Arabidopsis thaliana: one gene and its partners. The protein of the gene in region 3 interacts with the protein of the main gene of each other region in a pairwise test. Each region holds a gene or a part of one and is shown on either strand. Other genes may lie near its edges.

Region 1 (7,368 bases), about 24 Mb from region 3:
TGAAGAAGACATGAAGTCTTCCACTTGGGTTTCTACTTCGTCAACTAAACCCGTTGACTTTACTCAGGTCGAAGATTTTTGTGTCGAATTTGGTCAAGAGATTCTTGACCTTGTTATGGACCAGCTAGTTGATGAACTCTGTATCTAGTTTAAATTCCCAATTATCAGAAATATGTCGTTTTAAAATCTTGTAATCCAAATGTTAACCAGAGACTCACAACAATCGAAATTTTCATCACTCCATATTTTCTAAAAGTGTTATGCGGCCAATATAAGTTATTGACCAGAAAAATTATGGTTAACATTTATGATTAGTACTAAAGACTATAATGTACTCGTCTTAAATAGTCCTATAGACAAATATACCTATCCAAAACACAAGTATGTATATGGCGAATATCACCAAATAAGCACAAGGATAATCTTAGTGACTCGAATACTCGATCATAAGAATGAAATTAAATTCAAATTCGATATGACGAATTATCAAATGCATTATAAATACATGTAGTGGGTCCAAAAACGGTCAAATCGGTTTTCTTCTGAATTTTGGAGAGCTCCGTAACTTCGAAATACGTACTGTCTCCTTTATGTCTATTTCACATGCAAATCATGGTCTCCTTCTAACGTTACTTCTTTGACGTTTTTTTGTACTTTTCTGTGTTTTTTTTGGGGGGTTCACATGTAAAATTCAAGAACATTTTCCCACTCTAAATTATTTAAGTTTCGAATTATAATTATTTCATTTAGTCATAAACTATTTTTTTGCCAACGAAAAAGTGGTAAATATTGAAGGTCCTTGTATTCGAACTGGTGACCTCACAGAGTTGGTCACACGGCTCTATACAATTGAGCTGACGCGGCGTATTAGTAATACGTGTTTTTTAAAATGAACGGATATATTAGTGTGAACGCGTTATAACACGGTTTCATGTTTTCGGTATTTTTATCTGTTGGTAGCTGTCTTGCAAGAGAAGAAAAGAATAAAAATAACAAATTCTTTCTTTACAATTTACTTATGAACAAAATAAGTTTTATATATCACACAAATAACGCGGTGAAGTAATGTGGGACAAATGTGAATTGAAAGTTTTGGAATAAAGACTTTTGTTTAATTCTTGTTTATCGCCTGATTAATCGTTATGAAATATTCTTATTAACAGAATAAAGTAGCTAAAAGTATTCAACCAATTTGGTTTTGGACACCTATAACTATGAACAATATAATTCAAACTAGCATATCTAATTAATATCTATACAATTGTTTTATGCATGTACGTAAACTATTAAATGATTTATTAATTCTTATTCTTATCGTTTAGTTAATTCACATGTTACCTTATATTATATTTAGTAATTGCCTGCTCGTTTTACTCCCTCTCTATTTATTTTTCTTCCTCTAATATTGAAGGTTTATTTTTCTCCACCAGGATTTTTTTTGTTTTTAGAAGGATAAATTCATTTTCATACCACGATAACATATATCAAAATTTGAACATTTATCTTTCTTTTTGGAAATTTCAATAGTTCATATAAATATTATAAAACAAACATTAATTTAGATATATTATCTAAATTGATTTGCCTAACAAATTAACTAGCTAATTAACTTATGCTTAACACAAATAATGAGAACTTAGAAACCTTGATTATGATGATCATCATTATGATCTCTATTAAGCCTATTAAGCAAAGCATCGATGAGAGAATCTCTCTTCTGAGCCCTAGCTTCTTCTCTCAACCGTCTCTCTTCCTCTCTCTCCATCCACCTCCTTTCTGTGGCGGCTCTTTCCTCCTCTAGCTCCGCCATTCTCCTCCGCCACTCTTTCTCTCTCTTCTCCCTCTCTATCTCCTTCATCTCCCATGCATCTCTCCATTCCTTTTCCATCTTCACCGTTTGCCTCATAAACTCCTCCAATATATCTTTTAGTGTATTACCCGCAGTTTCAGCTTTCGTACCACTCGCAACGCCTTTTCCTTTTTTTGCACGTTTTCTTGGATTGGTCGAAGTACTAGTAGTAATCACTTCTGTCTCTCTTTTCTGTGTCTCTACTAAAGACAATAATTCCTCGTTGATATCTTGATTTGGTTCGTCAACTTCTTCTTCTTCATCATCAGATGAAAATTGATGATGTTTTCTCTTCGAGGAAGTGCTTGGTTCTGTGGCTTCTGACCACAGCATTCTTTGCATTCTTGCTTCAAAAATCGACTGAATCTCATTGTAGAATGGGAACTGCTGCCTAATAGCATCTGGCTCAGTGGTCTCACACGCCTGTCCCATGAATATTCATTATGTTATATAAACAATTATATGTAAACACGTAATAGTACCGACGCAAAATATTTTAGCTAACCAAGTATCTTAACTCGAAATCATATATCATAGGAAAACAAAAACACATGTTCATCATCTATATCACGTTTCTTTTACCTTAAATAAATGTGTGTATAGACTTTTTCAACTATCTTCATGTGTTCATCAGTAACGGTTCTTATTAAATCTTATGCACCCGTTATATAACGGTAATTATATTTTTATGGCATATTGTGTTACTTACTTACCATGTGATCAACGAACAAAAAGAGAGATATTATGGTATAACGGATCAAAATGTGAACATAGACAATATCATGATGAAAGCTCACCAATAAACGCGTAAAATTCTATTCTATAGCTCGTTACCATTAATGACAGGACAATATCTAAAAAACCTAGGCGATTAGGTTAAGCTCATTAATTGATGTATATATAATGTAGTTCACCTATACATACACCATAAACTAGGTTTCCATTTCAATATGCATAATATCAGTCTAACCACACAAACTAGTGATGAAATACATGATACACATAATTATAGTTTGTATATACTTGTAATCATGATCATACTAAACATTTATAGGTGTATATATCGGGACTATATATAGAGAGAATCATCAATAGGATTCTAAAGAGTTGAAGGGTAACCTTGTATCTAGTGACGAGGTTCTTCCACTTGCTCTTACATTGTTCTGCGCTTCGGACAAAACCCTTGTCGGCCATCTTAGCAGCCACGACTTCCCAAAGAAGCTTATTACGTTTGGTCTCCATGAAAGTTTGATCAAGTTCTTCTCTTATAGCCAAAAGCTCCTTTGTCTCCTCTATGCTCCACTGTGGGATTCTCTCCCCACCTCCTCCTCCTCCGCCGGGATCCATCGTCGCCGTGGTGCTCAGCGGCGGCGGAGGAAGCTGTTGCTGTTGGATCAAGTGATGATGAAGCTGATGGTGGTGGTGGTGATGTTGGAAAGGGTTACGTCGGTCCATTATTTGGAATCGAATTGTCTTTGTGACGTGAAGAGAAGAAATAAGAGGGAGATAATTTTATTTTTTTGTTGGGTTACTTATAAATGAAGAGAGGTTTCATTGAAAAAAAGAAGAGAAGACAGAGAGGAAGGAGAGAAAAGAGAAGAATCTAATTAATTTATAAGGATGTGTGAAAAGAAGGTGTGAAATCGTAGAGGGACGATAGAAGTGTAGTTTTTTGTTCTTTTCTCTAATTAAAATTATTAAGATGAGATTTTTTAATAATTATTGAATATACTAGAACTTATAGAATTATTTAGTTGAATAAAATACGAACACGAATGACTCTTTTGGTGAAAAGGACACAATTCGTGATTACATTAAAAATAATAAAGCTTAGATATCCCTTTTTCGGATGATAAACTCTAGATTTAAAGCAGCTAACTAAATAATTCATACTTTTTTTTTCTTCGTATTCTAGAGTTTAAAAATAGCAATCTCAAACAATTACAGGGGTAACTTGCATCAGTTAAGAATATCTTAAGTAAAAACAATCGCCTTAATCTTAGAGTAAAATCAAACAATATGTTTTTTTTTGACAGATTGATTATTTGTGTGCATCATTCTAAACACGCTTTCAAATTTGTAAAGTTGTAGAACTATATTTTTACTGTATGGTTATTGTTTTTCCTTGATGATGATTTTGTGACCAAGCTCAAGTACTCAACTGTCTCGTATTTTTTGCATTTGGTAGTTATTCGTTAATAATTTGTCCCAATACATATAAATGTTGCGTTAATATTTCGTCACGCTTACGAGTTACGAGTCACAATCCGATTTTTATTCTTCAATCCGATTTAGCCTTTATGGTCAATTGACCCACTAGATTTTCCTCATCCCATAATTCTTGTATTTTTCTTTTGAAAAATTCATCGTAACAAAAGTAACCTAATGGTTGACAGACAAAATATATTAAATAAGCTATTGGATCAATATGCTTTTAGAAGTTTAGATTAGCCCCGTGTCATGGAGGAAGAGATCAGATATAAACAAAGAATTAGAGAATTGTTGTTAGCAAGTTTTACATAATAGATACCTAACGTTCCTATCAAAATAAAAAAGAAGAAGAATTAAGTTACAGAAAACAAGACTACCGTTATGATTAGCTAAGAAATTAATTTGATTGGAATTGTAAATTCCCCCAAGAAAAAAAGAAGACTATTCATTTATGGATTGTATGATATTTAGTATATGAATAAATGGAAATCGTTATATTCGCAGTCGGCACAAAACAAATAATGCGTACGAACAGAGAAAATGTACTCTTGTTCTGAAATGGTTTGGATCCAGTGCAATATACAACTGTCAGATTCCCAAACACACATATGGTAGTACATATTTAGAAGCCGCGTCATTGCAATGATATAACAAGTAAAACGTACGGTGAATGAAACTTGTAGGAGTAAATATTTTTTATTTGTATCTAAAGAAAGATTCGTCGGGGTTGTATTTTTGGCTCTGATATGTGTAAGAAATACTAGTACTACTCAGTAGTAAAAAAAAAAACAAAAAAAAGTCAGCGAAGTGGTCCAAATAGCGATGAAGCGTGTTGAAAGTAAATCAAAATCTTACATGACATGCACTAGACTTCGCTCCCACCTGTCATCCCACGTGGATTCACACCTTATTTATTTATACTAAATTAATAATAATGTCGACTACTCTAGTGAATGATCTTTAATTTTTCTAATTCTTATGTTCAAAATTTGTGGTCTTTAATTATTTAAAAGAGAAATTGTGAATGAAGGAATTTTCTGTGAACAAAAGAAAGAATAATCAGTATTTTTTAATTTTATTTAAATGGAATCAAATAATCAGCAACGCGGAGTGTTGTTATATTCCACGTGTAAACGCCCACCATGTTTGTCCACGTGGCCATCTCTCTCTCTGTCTTTCACTTTTTATTTTAACAAAGATTTTTGTTGGCTGATGTTTATCCGCTCAATACAAGTAGGCCACCTCATCATCCTTTTTATTTCCCATCCAAATTTTTGCTTAAAAGAATTGAAGTCTTAAAGCAAAGAACAAAAAAAAAACGTCAGCCAAAAGCATATATACAAAAATCAGCCTATTCGTGTTATTTAGAACTTTTGAGGTGAATGTTGTTTAGGGTATCGCTCCGGATTATTCGGAAATAGTAATAAGTTTAGTCTTTTACTTTTGCCGTAACTTGGTGAATGCACATGACTTCCATTTTTGAATTTGGAGTCACTGCAACAATACATTGTTGTTACAAATACCAAAAACCTTTCTCACTGTTTGTAATACTGCTGGTTTTGAACCAAGACCATGAAAATGATATTTCAGTTGATTGCAGAAACTCTTCTTGTTCTTGAAAACATTCAAATATTTGACTAAACTAAACTCGATCTGTGTTTATTTTTTTGAATCTATAAATCATACTAACTTTATGAATGAATATTACTAATTCGTACATGTGGAGATATGCAAGTAATTTGCCTAACCAGAACAATCAAAGAGGAACATACATTAGTCTGTTTTTTCTTCTTCTTATTATTTGACAAGTAACAACAATTATTCCATGTCAACATCAGCACGTGAGGGTTGAAAAGATTTTAGTGAAGGAATTAAACGGGACAAGGTCAAGAAGATTGAAGAATGTGAGAAAAACGTAGAGATTTGGATTTTTTAATCAACAAAAGAAAAAGGTTCTTCAAATTTCGCTACTATGATTAATCAATTTGAATTACATTTTGACATATTGTTAAACGTTGATTTAGTCTTTCCAAATCTGTTGACAATGTTTACTATTAAACAAATATTGAAGCTTTTAGCAAAGAGATATAAGGAGAGACTTTACTTCACTAGTCGTCAGTCATTACTAACTAAACCGGCATCATTTGGTGGTATGTATTTCCCTTAAAAACCTTACCAAAATGCAACCAAAATAAATTAAAAAAACCATAAGCACATATTCTGCTTCTAAAAGATTCCAAAAAAGCTAGCAGATTGAAAAAACTGAAACGAGATGCTTCAATCTTTGGACATTCAAGGTGATAACATCCGCTTGATCCCTGATTTCTGCTCAGTGGTTAGCTTCGAAGGGAACTTGATGATGAATCTGATTCTCAAGTTTCCTTTTCTTGACGGATCTTTAGGGATCGGCATGCCTTCTCCTTTCACCACCTCTTCGTACGACGGACTGATCACATTGTTTACCGGAACTGTTAAGGTTCTTCCGTCAAGAGTAGTGACCTGTGCGGTGTAACCTGTGAGAGCATCCACTAGAGAAATCTTTTGCATTACCACAAGATCATTCCCGTCTCGTTTGAAAACGGGATGCGGTTTCTCGTCTACGATGAAAACGAGATCGGATGGTATGACTCCACGATGCTCATTACCTTTTTCCAGGAAGGTTATCTTTGTTCCTTTTTTCCAACCGGGTTTAATTTCTATCGTCAAGATCTCCTCAACCGGTGTTGGCCTCCTGCATTAAAGGATAAACAGAGGTTTTGTCAGTAGAAGAACGTAGAAAATAAAATTTCAGTAATGTCTTTATACTCATGGTAGTGGAAATCACAAAAAGTAGGAATGAATTTCGATACTTGAGATTGCGAAAAGGAAGATATTCAAGAGAGCTTTAAGCAGACATTCTAACAAGGATTAGAGATGAATCAAATTGAAGACAAGAGACACCATTACAATTTGTAGAGTTGAAGAGATTTCCGTTTTCATGAAAAAACAGATGAAGCTAAAATCCATAATGAAAGTGGTTAAGTAGGTCAAGGAATGTCCTGGTTAGCTATAGCTATCGGTTCCTACACTTACATCTATCATTTATGTGCCGATAGAGAGATCAAATACTGAATAAAGGTCACAGAGTACACAACTTAGATGCTAACAAAAACCTGTTCAAAAGAAGAACTTTCTAATAAGCTGACTCTATAGACTATTATAGCTTTCATAGACTAAACATTTGGAACCAAACTCCACAGAAAGAGAGTTTAAACTGTTCTAGAAAGAAATTGGCCAAAAGCAGCAGATATATCCCTCTACTAAAAGCC
Region 2 (6,103 bases), on a different chromosome or scaffold from region 3:
AACTTCATATATATGCTGTTATATCTCCAGATCACCGATTGAATTACGACTGAACAAAGAAAATAACTATGGTGTACATATTTTCTAAGGGTGGCCACGGGACGTGTACTTTTGAATTTTGAGGTATCCTTTATTTAATACGATCTTTATGGGTACTAATTGTTTTTACTTTTACTTTATCCGTAAATTACAGATACTCGGTAAAAATAGTGATACCCGACCCTTTACCTTTGTACATCTATTTTGTGCTAATTCATGTGTAATGTTTTTCGTAGATGCATAATCATTTCATATACAAAGACATATATGCAACATACAATTCTAAAAGATATAAAATTACAAACATAGATTTTAACTTTCATTTTAGAAAGTATTTATAAAATTTTAGTAATATTGTAAAACACTAATAAAACGGGTAACTATGAGTGATCTCGTAGTAAAGCGGGTAACATGACAGATAATTAAAAAGAAATTAATATCCGATACACGATCCTTATCCACGAGTAATAGATTTATAACACATTACCGAACTGAAGGTTACAGTTACCCTTTTTGTGAAACGGGTAAAAGATCGAATACGGGTATCAACTATCAAGTATCAGTGTCAGCCCTAATATATTCTAGACTACATATTTTTTTTTTTTTTTACTACGATTGTGAGTTATCTCGAGATAAGTTTGTTGAAAAAGAAAGGTGACTGCAACTTGAAAATGCTGAATTGCGCTAGACTTTTAGCTCTAGAAGCCATTCACTGGAGGTCCGAGGATGGGCCGTCCACGGCAGAAACTCAAAGTCCCCGATCACATACTCCTTATACACACACCTTATAATCTTTCTCATAGGTTAGCTACTTACCTGTATAGTTTATTCAGATCGTCTCATTCTAAAAAACCAATATAAGATTTTCTCACAGTAACGTACATGAGGGACAAGTAGAGATATGTGGCTCTCGCACGAGTCGCCGAGAAGGGAACGAATAGAAAGTGTGAAAAGAGTGGTTATATGGAAACTAGAGAGAAACTTTAAGAAGCAAAGCAGAAGAAAATAAGAAAATGAGAGAGTGATTTGATGCGACATTTTTGATACACTTCCATGCGGTTTCTTCTTACCACACACATCTTCACAAGATTAAATCCACAAAGTTTTATCTCTCATATTCATCTCCCATTAGATAAATATGTATAGCAATTATCATACCATCCATATAAGATTATATATATATATATATATATATATATATAATTAACAAAAATATTATGTATAAAACATTTGGTTGTTGAAGTTTACTACATAAGTTTACCTGATTATTTATATGTGCTAGCTCGACTGTTCAATTTTAAACTTCATTATTTCTACACTATTGGAATCTCAATCCAATGATTCAATATGTAGTTTGACGATTACAGATTTGAATAATTGGTAATTCTTTTAATATTAGTACTAGATAACCTTAAGATAACGGGTGCCAAAAAACTGAAAAAAAAGAAAAACCGTAGACAACATTTAGGAATCATAACTACTTATATTAGAATGATCCAAACTAAGTTCAGCTTATAGAACAATTTCTTAGTTGCATTTCTTCCCTTGGATATGCGATTCTTGTAAGAGAGCAAGGGAGGTTGGATAGCTTAATCTCGTCTCTGGTTATACTTCTTCAATGAGTTCTTGTTTTTCTAGTTGACCACACTAATGATATAGTTCTTACACTACTTAAAACCATTGATATAGCTCAACCTTCAAGGGTTAATTTAAAGAAACCAAAAAAATTAGTAAACCGTAAAAGAAATTTCGGATATTGTATCAAAATAATATTCACATCGATCGGTACGATAATTGGATCAACAAAGATTACAAAATCATGTGAAACTGTATACAACCCAAAAACTTAACTCCAAGAAATCGTTCTTCCCAACTCCAACTTCCAATTGACCAAACTCTCCATCGAATCTAAGTCCAAATCCAAACAAGCCACTCTCTTCCCACTACTAAATTTCTTCAAAGCCGTCACCGTCGTCGTCTCCGGTAGAAAAGAACGTGTAACCAACGAGCCTGAGACTTTCTCGTTCCTATGTCTCCTCATGTGACCACCAAGAGCTTGTCCCATCGGAAACTTCACTCCACATATCGGACAAGGATGAGACGTTTTAGTTTTCTTGTTGGACAAGGATCCAAGAAGTGATGGATTGTCACTGTTGATAAGTTTCTTGTGGCTTGCACGATGACCTCCCAAAGCTTGAAACGATGAGAACTCTTTAAGACAAGTCTTGCATCGGAAAACACGTTCATCTCCCCCGCAGCCGCCGCCGCATTCTCCGACTCTTGATAACAACATCAAACATTTCGCAGTCGTATCTTCTTCCACTATCACAATTTCCTCACTTCTCGCAACCATTTTGAATCGACTTAGTGACTTCTAGGGTTTTGATTTTTTTTTTCCTTTCTATGATCGGTTTTTTAGTTTGTGTGTGTTGTGTGATGAGTACTCCTATTTATATACTAGAATCTAGTTTAGTTAATATTAATTGACGAAAATACCCATTGTGCTTGCTGCGTAAGTAAGCTAAAGTGTAAGGAAATATGATTATTAGCGTCACCGCGTCACGCGTAACACTTAGGAGACTCAGAAAAATGAAAAAGTCAAGTGTTACGAAAAGGAATGTTCTTGGTGCTTTCCTCCACAAAATACAATATTTGAAGACTACTAGAACAACTTATTATCTTTCTCATTGGTCGTCGAAGTTATTAAAATCTGGTTCGTGCATATTTTTTTTTTGACGTCGGTTCATGCATTTTTAAGCCGTCTTCTAGATTTTTTTTTTGTGAACTTAAATCTTCTATATGGATAGAGCAAATGAATGTATTTGCTGACTTATCCATACACAGTCTTGATGCATCTAGAATATTCTTGGTTGGATAGTCGATATTATTCGTTAAGTTTATCAACGAATAATTTAATAACTCATCAAAAATCGAACTAGGTGTCTCTATAACCTCATTTTTTTGGAAGGATAAGAGATTCCCCCACTAGATCAAATCCCCACTTGGTGTTTTATGTGTTGCTGTTTTTTTCGGAGGCATTTTTGGAATGTTTTGGCTGGGACCATCTTGTGATAAATACATCATACACTCTCCAACAAAAGACCAAACTAGGGTATAGAACGCAATATTATCTGGACAAATTAAGACTAACGAAACTACCTACAACTTTATATGTGTTGTTATGTTTATTATCTCCATATGATCACCGATTGAAATACGACTGTTTGGATACCATATATATATATATATATATATATATATATATATATCTTAATTCATGTCAACTTCTAAACAACACATAAATAGTGGCATGTACCTTACGATATACCTTGTAAATTAATCAATGTCAATTTGTTGTACGTTCTTGCTCTCTTTTTAATAGATTTTCTGTATAATCTTTGTAACTTCTGTCATATATCATATCATCCTCGCAGTAACGTACATATGAGAGACAAGAAGAGGTGTGTGTGTGTGTTTCTCGGAAAGATGAGAATTGAGGACGCGGTTGTACGGTAACTAGAGAGAAATGTTTGGAAGCAAAAATCAGAAGAAAACAAGGAAAGGAGAAAGTGATATGATGCGAGACTTTTGATACATTTCCACACGGTTTCTTCTTAGAACACACAACACCTCTTCACAAGTTGTTTTCCACTAAATTTCTCTCGCATATTCATCCTCCAGTAGAGAAACATGTATATAGCATAATATCTATACAAGATCATTAGTATAAACACTTTGATTGTTGAAGTTTACTACACCTAATTAAGAGTTCTACAAGCATCTTATTCTTACCCTGATAATATAATAAGATCAAATTTAGCTTTTTAAACATGTTTACTTAATTATATTCGATCCATAATTGTATTCCCGAATCAATAATTCAATACTTTTGACGAATAAGAGATTTGAATGATTGGTTCTTTTACTATAGTAAGCCGTAAGGAGAATGAAACAATGGTTCATCATGTTAATAAAGCCTTAAGATACTACTCTAAGTCACTGAGTTTGACTTGGAACTGCTCACCTGAAGACAACACCTTAACACTGACCGAACCATCTTCCCACTCTGTTTTCCCAACCAGAACCAGCCTTCTTGCGTTTACCCGAGCTGCTCTCTTGAACACCCATTTCAGCGGTTTACTCTCTAATACCAAATCAACGGTTTGGCCTTTGTCTCTGAGAGCTGTTGCAACTGTGGCTGCAGCTCCTTGGAGATCTTTGTCCAACGCACACACTATGTTCTCTACTTCTTGTCCCAGTTCTGGCAACAAATCCTTCTCTTTGAGCAACTAAATGAAAGTGGCAAAAATAAGAACCAGATATTCAGAGACCCACAACTATTCGCTGCGGGTTATAATAGTGACCAGAAGCAAATTTAACTTACTTCAACTATTACAGCATCGCCGAAACCAAAACCACAAGCAGGAAAGTCATCACCTCCATAAGTAGAGAGTAACCTATCATATCTCCCACCACCACATATAGCTCGCAGCTTCCCTTTTCGATCAAATCCCTATCACAAAACGTTGTCTATCAGTTGCTATTACAAAACTATAGACCAGTATCCATGTATGGAGAAAATCTAACCTCGAAGACGATACCAGTGTAATAAGCAAGACCGCGCACAACAGATGCATCAAACTGTATCCACTCTGAATAACCAAACTTTTCAGCAAGTGAGAAGAGTTGTTTCAAATCTGCAATGGCTTCTCCTGCTCCACCAATTATATCTGCTTATACAAATTAGAGATTCTTATCAGCAGAAAATTTCGGAGAAAAGGACTCACCAGAAAAATAATGGAAGGACATACCTTCCAAATCATCCAAGGACTTCACAGAAAGCACTTGCAGTAATTGTTCAATAGCATCTTCTGATATCCCCGTGAACCCAAGTTCCTTTTTTATTTCATCAATTGGTATCTTTTCTATCTATTTAGCATGCAACATAAAAAAAATAGGGTGACAAAATCAGTAACAACAGTAACATTCCTAAAGCTGGAGTATTTAATTATATCAGCAAATGAAGTAGCCTTGATTTCAAAGCAGTAGTATATTGATGTTTAGACTACGAACCTTGTCTATAATGATACAAACTCTTCCAAACAGGTCTTCGGGTACACCATACTTTTTTAGCAATTCTTGTAAAACCTGTACAAGGAAGAAGTTATGGTAGATGAAAGCTACAGTAGATATTCAGATTGTGCAAAATAATCTCAAATCATGTCTGCCGTTGCAAGTAAATTCCTTGATTCTGTATCTTGGGGGAAAACCAAGAAACAAGATGATCATATATAATCTACATCAAAAGAGAAAAATACCTTGCGGCTTGAAACCTTAAAACCCACATCTGACGCAGTGATTCCAATTCGCTTGAAGAAGGTGACTATAGATGAAATTAGTTCTGCTTCAGCCTAAAAGAAACCAAATTAGCGGCACGACTTAAAAAAATAAACACAGGTGAGGTTAATATAGCAAGAAACTCAAAGGCCTTAAAAGTGATTGAAGTTGTGAGGTACATACAGTTACTTGAGGCACACCAATAATATCCATATTCCATTGGTAATGCTCACGTCGCCTTCCTCTTGTCATTCTCTCATATCGCCAACACTGCCCAATTGCAAACCACTTCAATGGAAGGGAAACAGATTTTCTGGACCAAAAAGAATATGGGAATCAACCAACACTCTCACATCCATACCTGGATACAAGGAATGTTTTACAAGCAAAAACAAATAAATCCGTCCTTAGAAAGATTTCATGGACAATTCTCAAGACTTGGAGCTGAGTTTATTACCCTTTCTGTATGACAAGCCTGGCTAAAGAAGGTGTAAGCTCAGGCCTCAATGCTACACGCCGATTTCCTCTATCTTCAAAGCAGTAAAGCTACATAACAAGGTTGCAAGCTAAGGAACTAAATACTTCTAACAATTCTACATAAAACTGCAGATAAAGATCCTCGAAATGTAGAGAAAGACTAACTTGGTCTCTAATCTCTTCCCCAGCTTTTCTGATGAACAATGCCTCCGTCTCCAGTACTGGATAATCCACTTCCTCATACCCATAT
Region 3 (9,321 bases):
TATCATCAACTCAGCAAGCTGTTTAGAGAGCTCATCTTTGGCAAGGTTGCAACAACAACTGCAAGTTCCGGTGTATCCTATAGGCCCACTTCATATTACAGCTTCAGCGCCTTCTAGTTTACTAGAAGAAGACAGGAGTTGCGTTGAGTGGTTGAACAAGCAAAAATCAAATTCAGTTATTTACATAAGCTTGGGAAGCTTGGCTCTAATGGACACCAAAGACATGTTGGAGATGGCTTGGGGATTAAGTAATAGCAACCAACCTTTCTTATGGGTGGTCAGACCGGGCTCTATTCCGGGGTCAGAATGGACAGAGTCCTTACCAGAGGAATTCAATAGGTTGGTTTCAGAAAGAGGTTACATTGTGAAATGGGCTCCGCAGATGGAAGTTCTCAGACATCCTGCAGTAGGAGGGTTTTGGAGTCACTGTGGATGGAACTCAACAGTAGAGAGCATCGGGGAAGGAGTTCCGATGATATGTAGGCCTTTCACCGGGGATCAGAAAGTCAATGCGAGGTACTTAGAGAGAGTTTGGAGAATTGGGGTTCAATTGGAGGGAGATCTGGATAAAGAAACTGTGGAGAGAGCTGTAGAGTGGTTGCTTGTGGATGAAGAAGGAGCAGAAATGAGGAAGAGAGCCATTGACTTGAAAGAAAAGATTGAAACCTCTGTTAGAAGTGGAGGTTCCTCATGCAGCTCACTAGACGACTTTGTTAATTCCATGTGAAGATGATGAAGGGAGATAAGATAGTCCCTAGTCTCTTAGCAAAAAAAGAAAAAAATAAGGTCCCTAGTCAAAGTCGAAAGTGCATCAAGATGATATACAGGACATGAATTCTATTTTAAGTGTAATATTTGGAAGTTGTCTCTATAATAAGAATTTTTACGTTGTTGTCAAAAAAAAAAAAAAGGAGTTTCTGCATTTGGATACAGAAGCATTATTTTAAGTTACTCTCAAACAGGATAAGAGATAAAAGATGTTGTGCTTCTCCATTACAGTTTCTTAGACCAAATTCAATCACTTAAACCCTCGAAGTTACATCAATTATTTTCACTTTGTCACTATACCAAACAGCTCAACTATTTTTTACTTGAACTCTTAAAGTTACTGCAAATTATTTTCACTTTGACACCATACCAAATCAACTATTTTTACTTGAACCCTTTTAAGTTACTCCAATTAATTTCACTTTGTCGCCAACTCAACTACTTTTGAGTTACTTTAATCGAACTCGTTTTGATGGTCACAAGCCAGAGGTTGTGTCTTAGAATTATACTATTTAAGTCCTTGTACATAATTTTCAGAATGAGAAAGCTCTTGATGCTTTTAAACAGATGTTGGCTCATGAATATTATATCCAAATTCAACAACGATTACTAGCATTTTGCCTGCTTGTACCTCACTTGTGAATATGAAGCAGGGCAGGAGATCCACGGCTACTCGGTGGACTAGAAGATCACGGTTTTGTTACTATCAAAAGTAATGATCTTGTTTGATAAGAAAACAACGGTTTGAAGGAAGTTAGATAAATAACATGTTGGTCAAGTAAACTACAAAAATACAAAATCCTTTGTCTTTTGCCGCGTCTATACATCCACACTACAAAGTTATGAATCCGAATTACGGCAACGCGGCAGCTACAGTGGTTAGATGTCATGTTCAGAAATGAAATTCTAAGGTGTACGTACGTCGACATAATTTAAACGAGTGTGCTAGTTGTTATGTTCAGACATGAAATTATATGTTAACCTTAAGCAAGAGGGAAAATAAGTAAATAAATGATAGAGGTAGACTTAATTAGAAAAATGGTCCAAAACAAGACAACAAACTTAATAAAGAAAATGACAAAAGGAAGCCTTAAATGGTGCTAGTCACCAAATTTGTCACTTCCTTGTAACTTTGGGAATTCTTTGTCTAGTTTATATACTCCACGTGCTTTTTCTTGTGGTATGTCCTTCCTTCCACAATGTTGAGATCTTTCCCTAACCTCATAATTTTCCACTTAGGGATAAAAATAAATAACATGTCGATGAGACCAATGAAACAGTTAATATATATCCCACGTGCTATATTTCATATTAATTAGATCTGGTTCAAGCATTTAAGCATCCTTATGTGTCTTTGAGATTTTTCCATTCACACATTGACCAAAAAAAGAGAGAGACCAAGACTCCAAGAGAGAAAAACAATGGAAGAACTAGGAGTGAAGAGAAGGATAGTATTGGTTCCAGTTCCAGCACAAGGTCATGTAACTCCGATTATGCAACTCGGGAAGGCTCTTTACTCCAAGGGCTTCTCCATCACTGTTGTTCTCACACAGTATAATCGAGTTAGCTCATCCAAGGACTTCTCTGATTTTCATTTCCTCACCATCCCAGGCAGCTTGACCGAGTCTGATCTCAAAAACCTTGGACCATTCAAGTTTCTCTTCAAGCTCAATCAAATTTGCGAGGCAAGCTTCAAGCAATGTATTGGTCAACTATTGCAGGAGCAAGGTAATGATATCGCTTGTGTCGTCTACGATGAGTACATGTACTTCTCCCAAGCTGCAGTTAAAGAGTTTCAACTTCCTAGCGTCCTCTTCAGCACGACAAGTGCTACTGCCTTTGTCTGTCGCTCTGTTTTGTCTAGAGTCAACGCAGAGTCATTCTTGCTTGACATGAAAGGTACTCAAGATTTTTTAGCTTGTTAACTCAAACTTTAAAAGTGCATTTAGGTATATAAACCAATCCAAATGCTGTTGTTTGCTTTGCAGATCCCAAAGTGTCAGACAAGGAATTTCCAGGGTTGCATCCGCTAAGGTACAAGGACCTGCCAACTTCAGCATTTGGGCCATTAGAGAGTATACTCAAGGTTTACAGTGAGACTGTCAACATTCGAACAGCTTCGGCAGTTATCATCAACTCAACAAGCTGTCTAGAGAGCTCATCTTTGGCATGGTTACAAAAACAACTGCAAGTTCCAGTGTATCCTATAGGCCCACTTCACATTGCAGCTTCAGCGCCTTCTAGTTTACTTGAAGAGGACAGGAGTTGCCTTGAGTGGTTGAACAAGCAAAAAATAGGCTCAGTGATTTACATAAGTTTGGGAAGCTTGGCTCTAATGGAAACTAAAGACATGTTGGAGATGGCTTGGGGTTTACGTAATAGCAACCAACCTTTCTTATGGGTGATCCGACCGGGTTCTATTCCCGGCTCGGAATGGACAGAGTCTTTACCGGAGGAATTCAGTAGGTTGGTTTCAGAAAGAGGTTACATTGTGAAATGGGCACCACAGATAGAAGTTCTCAGACATCCTGCAGTGGGAGGGTTTTGGAGTCACTGCGGATGGAACTCGACCCTAGAGAGCATCGGGGAAGGAGTTCCGATGATCTGTAGGCCTTTTACGGGAGATCAGAAAGTCAATGCGAGGTACTTAGAGAGAGTTTGGAGAATTGGGGTTCAATTGGAAGGAGAGCTGGATAAAGGAACAGTGGAGAGAGCTGTAGAGAGATTGATTATGGATGAAGAAGGAGCAGAAATGAGGAAGAGAGTTATCAACTTGAAAGAGAAGCTTCAAGCCTCTGTCAAGAGTAGAGGTTCCTCATTCAGCTCATTAGACAACTTTGTCAATTCCTTAAAAATGATGAATTTCATGTAGTCCCTGTTTTGAAGTCAAAACTGTATCAGAAGAGATTCTTTATAATCATCATGAATCAAATGGCATAAAAGGAGATGGTTTCTATTTTTAGAGTAATGTTTTGGCAGTTGTATCTAAAAATAAAAGAGTTTCTGCATTTATAGACAAAATCATTGTTCACATGATAAGAGATAAAGAGCTTGGGCTTCTCCATTACAGTTGCTGAGGCCACGTTTCAACCACTTGAAACTTTCATTTAGGTTACTTTAATAATATTTCACTGTCACCAAACTAAACAGCTCAACTAAGTCCCATGAAAAGACTGGCGCATTGGAAATTTCAAGGACAGTTTGAGTCAGTTGTTGTAAGTTTAGGAAGGGTAGAGGAGACACGAGTGACCCACAAAGAAGTAATATGAAGATAACGTTAGAGAAACATCTTTTGAATGAAACAAAACAGAGAGGTGAAAAGTGATCTTCTAATGGCGACTCTACATTGGTCACAGAAATATTCTATGGATTCTCATCTAGTTTGCAGATTTAAAGATCTTAACAGATTATTTACCAAATGAAAACTATATGGCTAAAAGGCTAAAACTACTAACTCATTGTGGGCAAAGAAACACGAGCTTATGGTTGAAATGTCACTTTCTTCCTTGTGGTTGGGAGTTAATTGGTGTATGACCATCCAACACAATCAAAAGATACTTTTCTTAAGAAAGAGAAAAACTATTTTAATAGAAGAAAATGATAAATGAAAGAGATATTTATCAAAGTGAGGAGACATGAGACCTGATGCTATCTTCATTATCCAAAGAAAGAAACAATTAACATAACCGAACAAACATGTGACGCTGTCTTGAATTTAAGAAGACTACAAGCGATGAGCAAAAGAAGGCTTTATTACCTCATAAAGAATGGAGACAGTAGGAAACTAAATCATTCATAGAAGGCTTCATCCTCCAACAATACCAAGCTTCCCAGTGATTTTCTCGAAATCATTTTCTATACAAAGGCAATAAAGACTTGTGTGGAAAACATGGAGAATTAAAAGTCACAACAACCTCATGAAGTGGGAAAATAAACCATAAGCCAAGAACCTGTAACAAGAATCAATTAAGATCAACTACTTGCAAAGACAGAGTAAATATATAACAACACCAAACTAGGATTTGACCATAACACTCTACCAAGAAAATTGTAACACTTTGCTAGTAACATGAACAAACATCAAAGAATAAGAATCTCAAAGAAGAAGACGAAAACAAGCTCACCAGTATCTCTCTGTAGAGCAAATTATAGACCTTTAAGATCCATTTACTTGTCATTCACGTCACCACCACCAACAGAAGGATATGTCACCATTGTTCCAAACTTATTCTGCTGCATCATATATTGGTTTGATTCATTGCCATGGTTACTATACTGTTGATAATATCCTTGCATACCCATTTGATTCCCATAGCCTGGAATAGGCACCATCGACGGAACCGGAACCGGAACCCCCAACTTTCCGTTACTTCCTCCGCCGTCTTGAAAGCTCTGTGGAGGAACCGGCGTTGAAGAGAAGAGCTGATCCGACGACGAATAAGGATCTTCTTCCGTCGTCAATCCTTGAATCCGTTTAAGGTAAAGCCTATATTTCTGCAAATGAGACGCAACGTTCTCACGAGTAAGTCCTTCCACGTTCATCAGCTGCATAATCGTCTTCGGCACTGCGTTTTTAATCCCTAGATGAGCCACAACGTCCACAAATCTCTTGTGTAGCTGCGGTGTCCACACTAAACGCGGTCGTTTCGATGTCTTCCCAGACGCGTCTTCAGGCCCGGAGTCTCCTTCCTCCGCCGTGGAATCCTCCACCGCCGCTGCTTCACCACCATCCGATTTCTTCTGTTTCTTCGGATCTGATCCTGGAACACTCGATTCAACTCGATCCACGACCTCCTCCATCACAGACGAAGCATTGGTACTGCTTCTCAACGAAGAGAGCGTGATTTGCGACGCGCGATTGACGTCGTGAATTGTACGGCTTCGTTCTGGGATCATGCTGAAAGCTAACGCGAGAATCGACGGGACTAGATATTGAGATAACGGAGTCAAATCATCTCCGTTGGGTAAACCAATTTCCCATTCCGGAATCCTATATTCATCGCCGCCGCCGGCGTCTTCTCCGTCGTCGTCACCGTAATCGCTCACCATAACTTCCTTCCCCATGTTTCACACACTCTTCGTTTTCATAACTTTCATAACGGTTTCAAATCCTTTAAAGCTCAACAACATGTGGAAAAATATCGGATCAGAGATCGGAGAAGGTGACCGGAAAATTCGTAGAGCCTAGTTTTTTTTCTTTTTAAAAAAAGAAAAAGTGCAAATATCCGCCAACGTGGCCTAGCGAGCTAGATAATCTAAAATATCTTTTACCCGCATCAAAGTCTACTCGCTCTGTCTAAGTGACACGTGTGTAATCAACCAACTTATCTCCAGCCACGTCATTAGTGCATGGTTCTAGAATGTAGACAAAAGGCACGACGGTTTAGGCAGATAGTTGCAATTACAACTAGTAACAAGTGACCCTTTAACGTGGCTAAGTGGGCCAAAAAGAGTTCAATACCGGTGGGTTTGGGCTACGAAAAGAGTTCAATTTTTAAAACAATTATTAAATTTAAAAAATTTCTCTATAAATTAATATTTGTTTAAATTAACAAAATTTCGCAATTCTAATATTATTAATTTATAAAAGTTTTACTGTATCCGCAAACCATACACCACTGCATCGGAACTCAACATTCGCTGTCTGAGTTTAGGGTTAAACAGCAACACATAAAATACACGTTATTTTATAATGAAAAAGAACAATAACGGCCTAAACTACATTTCCTATAATGAAAAATACACGTTATTTTATTTTACGTACTTTACTTTTAAACTACTACTAGCATTTGGCCCCTACTATGCAGGGACAACATTGTTTTAAATTATATCTGCTACAACTCTTAACTAAGATTTTTAAAATAAAGCAGACAGCATAAATATACAACAAATTTATTATCATTGACTGAAGAATATACAAAGATTAAGAAAAAGATATAAAGAAGGTACAACTTTTCTACCCAATGAATCAATTGCGATAGACAGTAACTAACAAATCAAGAGTTTAGAAATATAAGAGAGTATAAGTACGAAAATTATGCTGGGTATATACATGTCCGCTTATTTCATCATTAGCTCCAACCAATTGTAATGTGTTCTTCTTCTCATCATCAGTAATTCAGTTTACAAACATTCGTTGACACCCAAAGCTTGGAAGTCTAAAAAAAAATGTAAAATGTGCACAAGTAAGTAACTACATAACGCAGACGCTGCCTTTGAAACAATATCAAAGATATTGCAGATATAAAGAAGTAAAATAAGAGATGACTTTAAAATTGAAGTATTTGTATTAATACAAAAATCTTGCGTGAAAATACAATTGCGGTTTAATACAAAAAAGAAATTGCAAATATAAAGAAGTAAAATAAGAGATGAAAGAAGAATAGTAAAAAGTATGAGAATTAATTTACCATTAAAAAAACACTTGAGCTTCGATTAAGATATTAAACTCACCCTTGTTTTAAGGCAACTGTTCAGATGAGAAGCCAAAATTTGTCGTTGTTCTTTGAGTGTTTGTGAGACGGGAGAATCATAGGCATTGATTGTATTAAAGAATAATCCTATGGAAAAATGGAGATGTATGAGAGAAATCGAATTCAGTCAAATAAAGCAGAAACAAAGCAAAAAAAAAAAAAAGCCATAGAAATCTAGAAGAAGGATATATGATTTTCGGATCTATGGAGAATTCTATATATATAAAACAAAATTACAAACAAAAATAGAAGATGGTAAATTGGTTCATTGAGATGAACAAAGTACCTGATTTCTGAGTAATCGATTAATGATGTTGAGAAACCCATCTTTGAGATTTTACACAGTAGTCATGGAGTTTTTGGAAGAGAGAAAGTGGAGATGTGGAGATCGTGGGGATGAAAGAGAAAATCGTTTGAGAATGAAACAAAGTTAAATAAAAACGACACATACTATGCGTAAAAATGAAAAAATAAAAAAGTAGTACTAAGCTGATGTGTCAATCACTGAATGCATCAGTTATTGGAAAATTGACTGCTGATTTAGTATATTTAGATTAGTAAAACAAAATCAAAAGAAATAACAGGAAACAAGACTTCAGTTGTCTCTATCTCGCGCCTTTATTGGGCCGTATCTAGACCCATTCCATTTCCTCTAGCCCAATACCTGTTTACCAAATCTTCGCGTACAAATCATCTGATTCACTTTATCGCCGCGCGACTCGGCGCACCAAACTCACAAATGTCTCACTGAGTCCACTCGGTCACCACATATTCGAAGCGTTCTTTGCTTCCTCTGTATTTCAAGCAAGCTTCTTCGATCTTCCTCCTGTGTTTTCGTCTCTAATCGTAAGTTTAATTTTGCTCGGTATCGAAGATTTTTGTCAATCTCAAAGTAGATAGATCAGAGTTAAGCAAAGAGATTGATAATTAGGTTTAGGAATCGAAATTTATTGTGATGTTAGGTAATCGGAACCAATGGAATCATTGCATTGAGTAGAAACCCTAATTTTGGGGGACTGTGGAGTAAGTAGATCAGGAAAACCAGTTTCTTGTGGAAGCTTCAATGGAAACGACTGTTAAAAACTCAAGCAGTGATGGTGAGTGGAAAGTAGTCTTACCTAGTAAAGGAAGACAAGGAAGAAGAAGAAAACCGAAACCTAAAGGTCAAGCAGAAGAAGAAGAGCAACCATGGAAATCAGATGATCTTGAAATTGATCCACAGAGACAAGCAAGACTAAAGCAGAAGATGGAAATCTCTCTGAAGAAAATCGAAAGCTCGAGTTTTTACACAGCATTCTTGGAGCAGCTTAAGTCTCCTGAGGTTTCGAATCAGATTCGCCTCGTGTTAGGGTCTGAAACACAGTTGCAGATGGTGATGTACGGTATAGGTAGCATTGAGTCTTATGAATCTCCGAGGTTTCAGCTGAGCATTGCAATCTTGATGAAGAGAGAGTTTGATTGGGTTGGTGATAACATTGAAGTGTTTGACCCAGTTCTCTCTGCAACTGAATCTAGTTACCTAGAATCTTTGGGATGCAGTGTTCTATCTGTGAATGAGCAAGCTCGTAGGGAAGCTTTAAAGCCTACTCTTTTCTTCATGCCACACTGTGAGGCCAATCTATACAGCAACCTATTGCAAGCAAATTGGAGAATGGATCGACTGTCGAAAATCGCATTGTTTGGGAACAGCTTTCAGATGTATGAGGAGCAAGTTTCATTTGACGCAGAAGTCATCTGTGCTACCAAACGAATCATAGCTGCACAAAGAGTCACAAGCGAGTTTGCTATTGAGACGGAATCAGATGATTATTTTGCAGCATTCCATGATTCAAGCTGGCATTTTTTCAGTTCTGGTATAGATTCGGAGCTGCCATTGTTCGTTTCAGACTAATTTTAGATCATTGTTTTCAAAAGCTTTTTGATTTTCACTTGTGCAACATTTTGTTTATCTGTCTTTTTCCTCCTTGCATAATCTTAGCCTTCAAGGCGGGCAAAACAATTGAAGTTATTGACTTATCAATGCAGTCAATAAAATTTAATGCTTGTCTGATCATAATAAAGATGCAAACCGTGGTTTATT

What was found.
Region 1: the proteins of BOA (region 3) and AT5G01380 interact in a two-hybrid assay, tested with the Arabidopsis thaliana proteins (one large-scale study listed by BioGRID).
Region 2: the proteins of BOA (region 3) and ZAT7 interact in a two-hybrid assay, tested with the Arabidopsis thaliana proteins (one large-scale study listed by BioGRID).

The regions. Positions count from the first base shown.
Region 1 is NC_003076.8:154,148-161,515, forward strand, and holds AT5G01380 (Homeodomain-like superfamily protein), read right to left. Parts: upstream 3,455-7,368; 5' UTR 3,305-3,454; coding exon 2,969-3,304; intron 2,273-2,968; coding exon 1,637-2,272; 3' UTR 1,463-1,636; downstream 1-1,462. Other genes in the region: ACI1 (ALC-interacting protein 1), read left to right, coding at 1-148; AT5G01390 (DNAJ heat shock family protein), read right to left, coding at 6,353-6,791. UniProt on the Arabidopsis thaliana protein: Probable transcription factor that binds specifically to the core DNA sequence 5'-GTTAC-3'.
Region 2 is NC_003074.8:16,924,419-16,930,521, forward strand, and holds ZAT7 (C2H2 and C2HC zinc fingers superfamily protein), read right to left. Parts: upstream 2,466-6,103; 5' UTR 2,393-2,465; coding exon 1,886-2,392; 3' UTR 1,463-1,885; downstream 1-1,462. Other genes in the region: AT3G46086 (uncharacterized protein), read right to left, coding at 724-840; HRS1 (Histidyl-tRNA synthetase 1), read right to left, coding at 4,026-4,328, 4,424-4,552, 4,627-4,769, 4,851-4,968, 5,113-5,187, 5,358-5,450, 5,560-5,689, 5,834-5,922 and 1 more.
Region 3 is NC_003076.8:24,000,558-24,009,878, reverse strand, and holds BOA (Homeodomain-like superfamily protein), read right to left. Parts: upstream 5,992-9,321; 5' UTR 5,833-5,991; coding exon 4,936-5,832; 3' UTR 4,893-4,935; intron 4,719-4,892; 3' UTR 4,526-4,718; exon of another isoform or gene 3,644-4,525; 3' UTR 3,641-3,643; coding exon of another isoform or gene 2,757-3,640; 3' UTR 2,668-2,756; coding exon of another isoform or gene 2,190-2,667; 3' UTR 2,035-2,189; downstream 1-2,034. Other genes in the region: UGT76E2 (UDP-glucosyl transferase 76E2), read left to right, coding at 1-727; UGT76E1 (UDP-glucosyl transferase 76E1), read left to right, coding at 2,190-2,667, 2,757-3,640; SRR1 (sensitivity to red light reduced protein (SRR1)), read left to right, coding at 8,305-9,132. UniProt on the Arabidopsis thaliana protein: Transcription factor that is a critical component of the regulatory circuit of the circadian clock. Binds to specific sites on CCA1 promoter leading to CCA1 activation.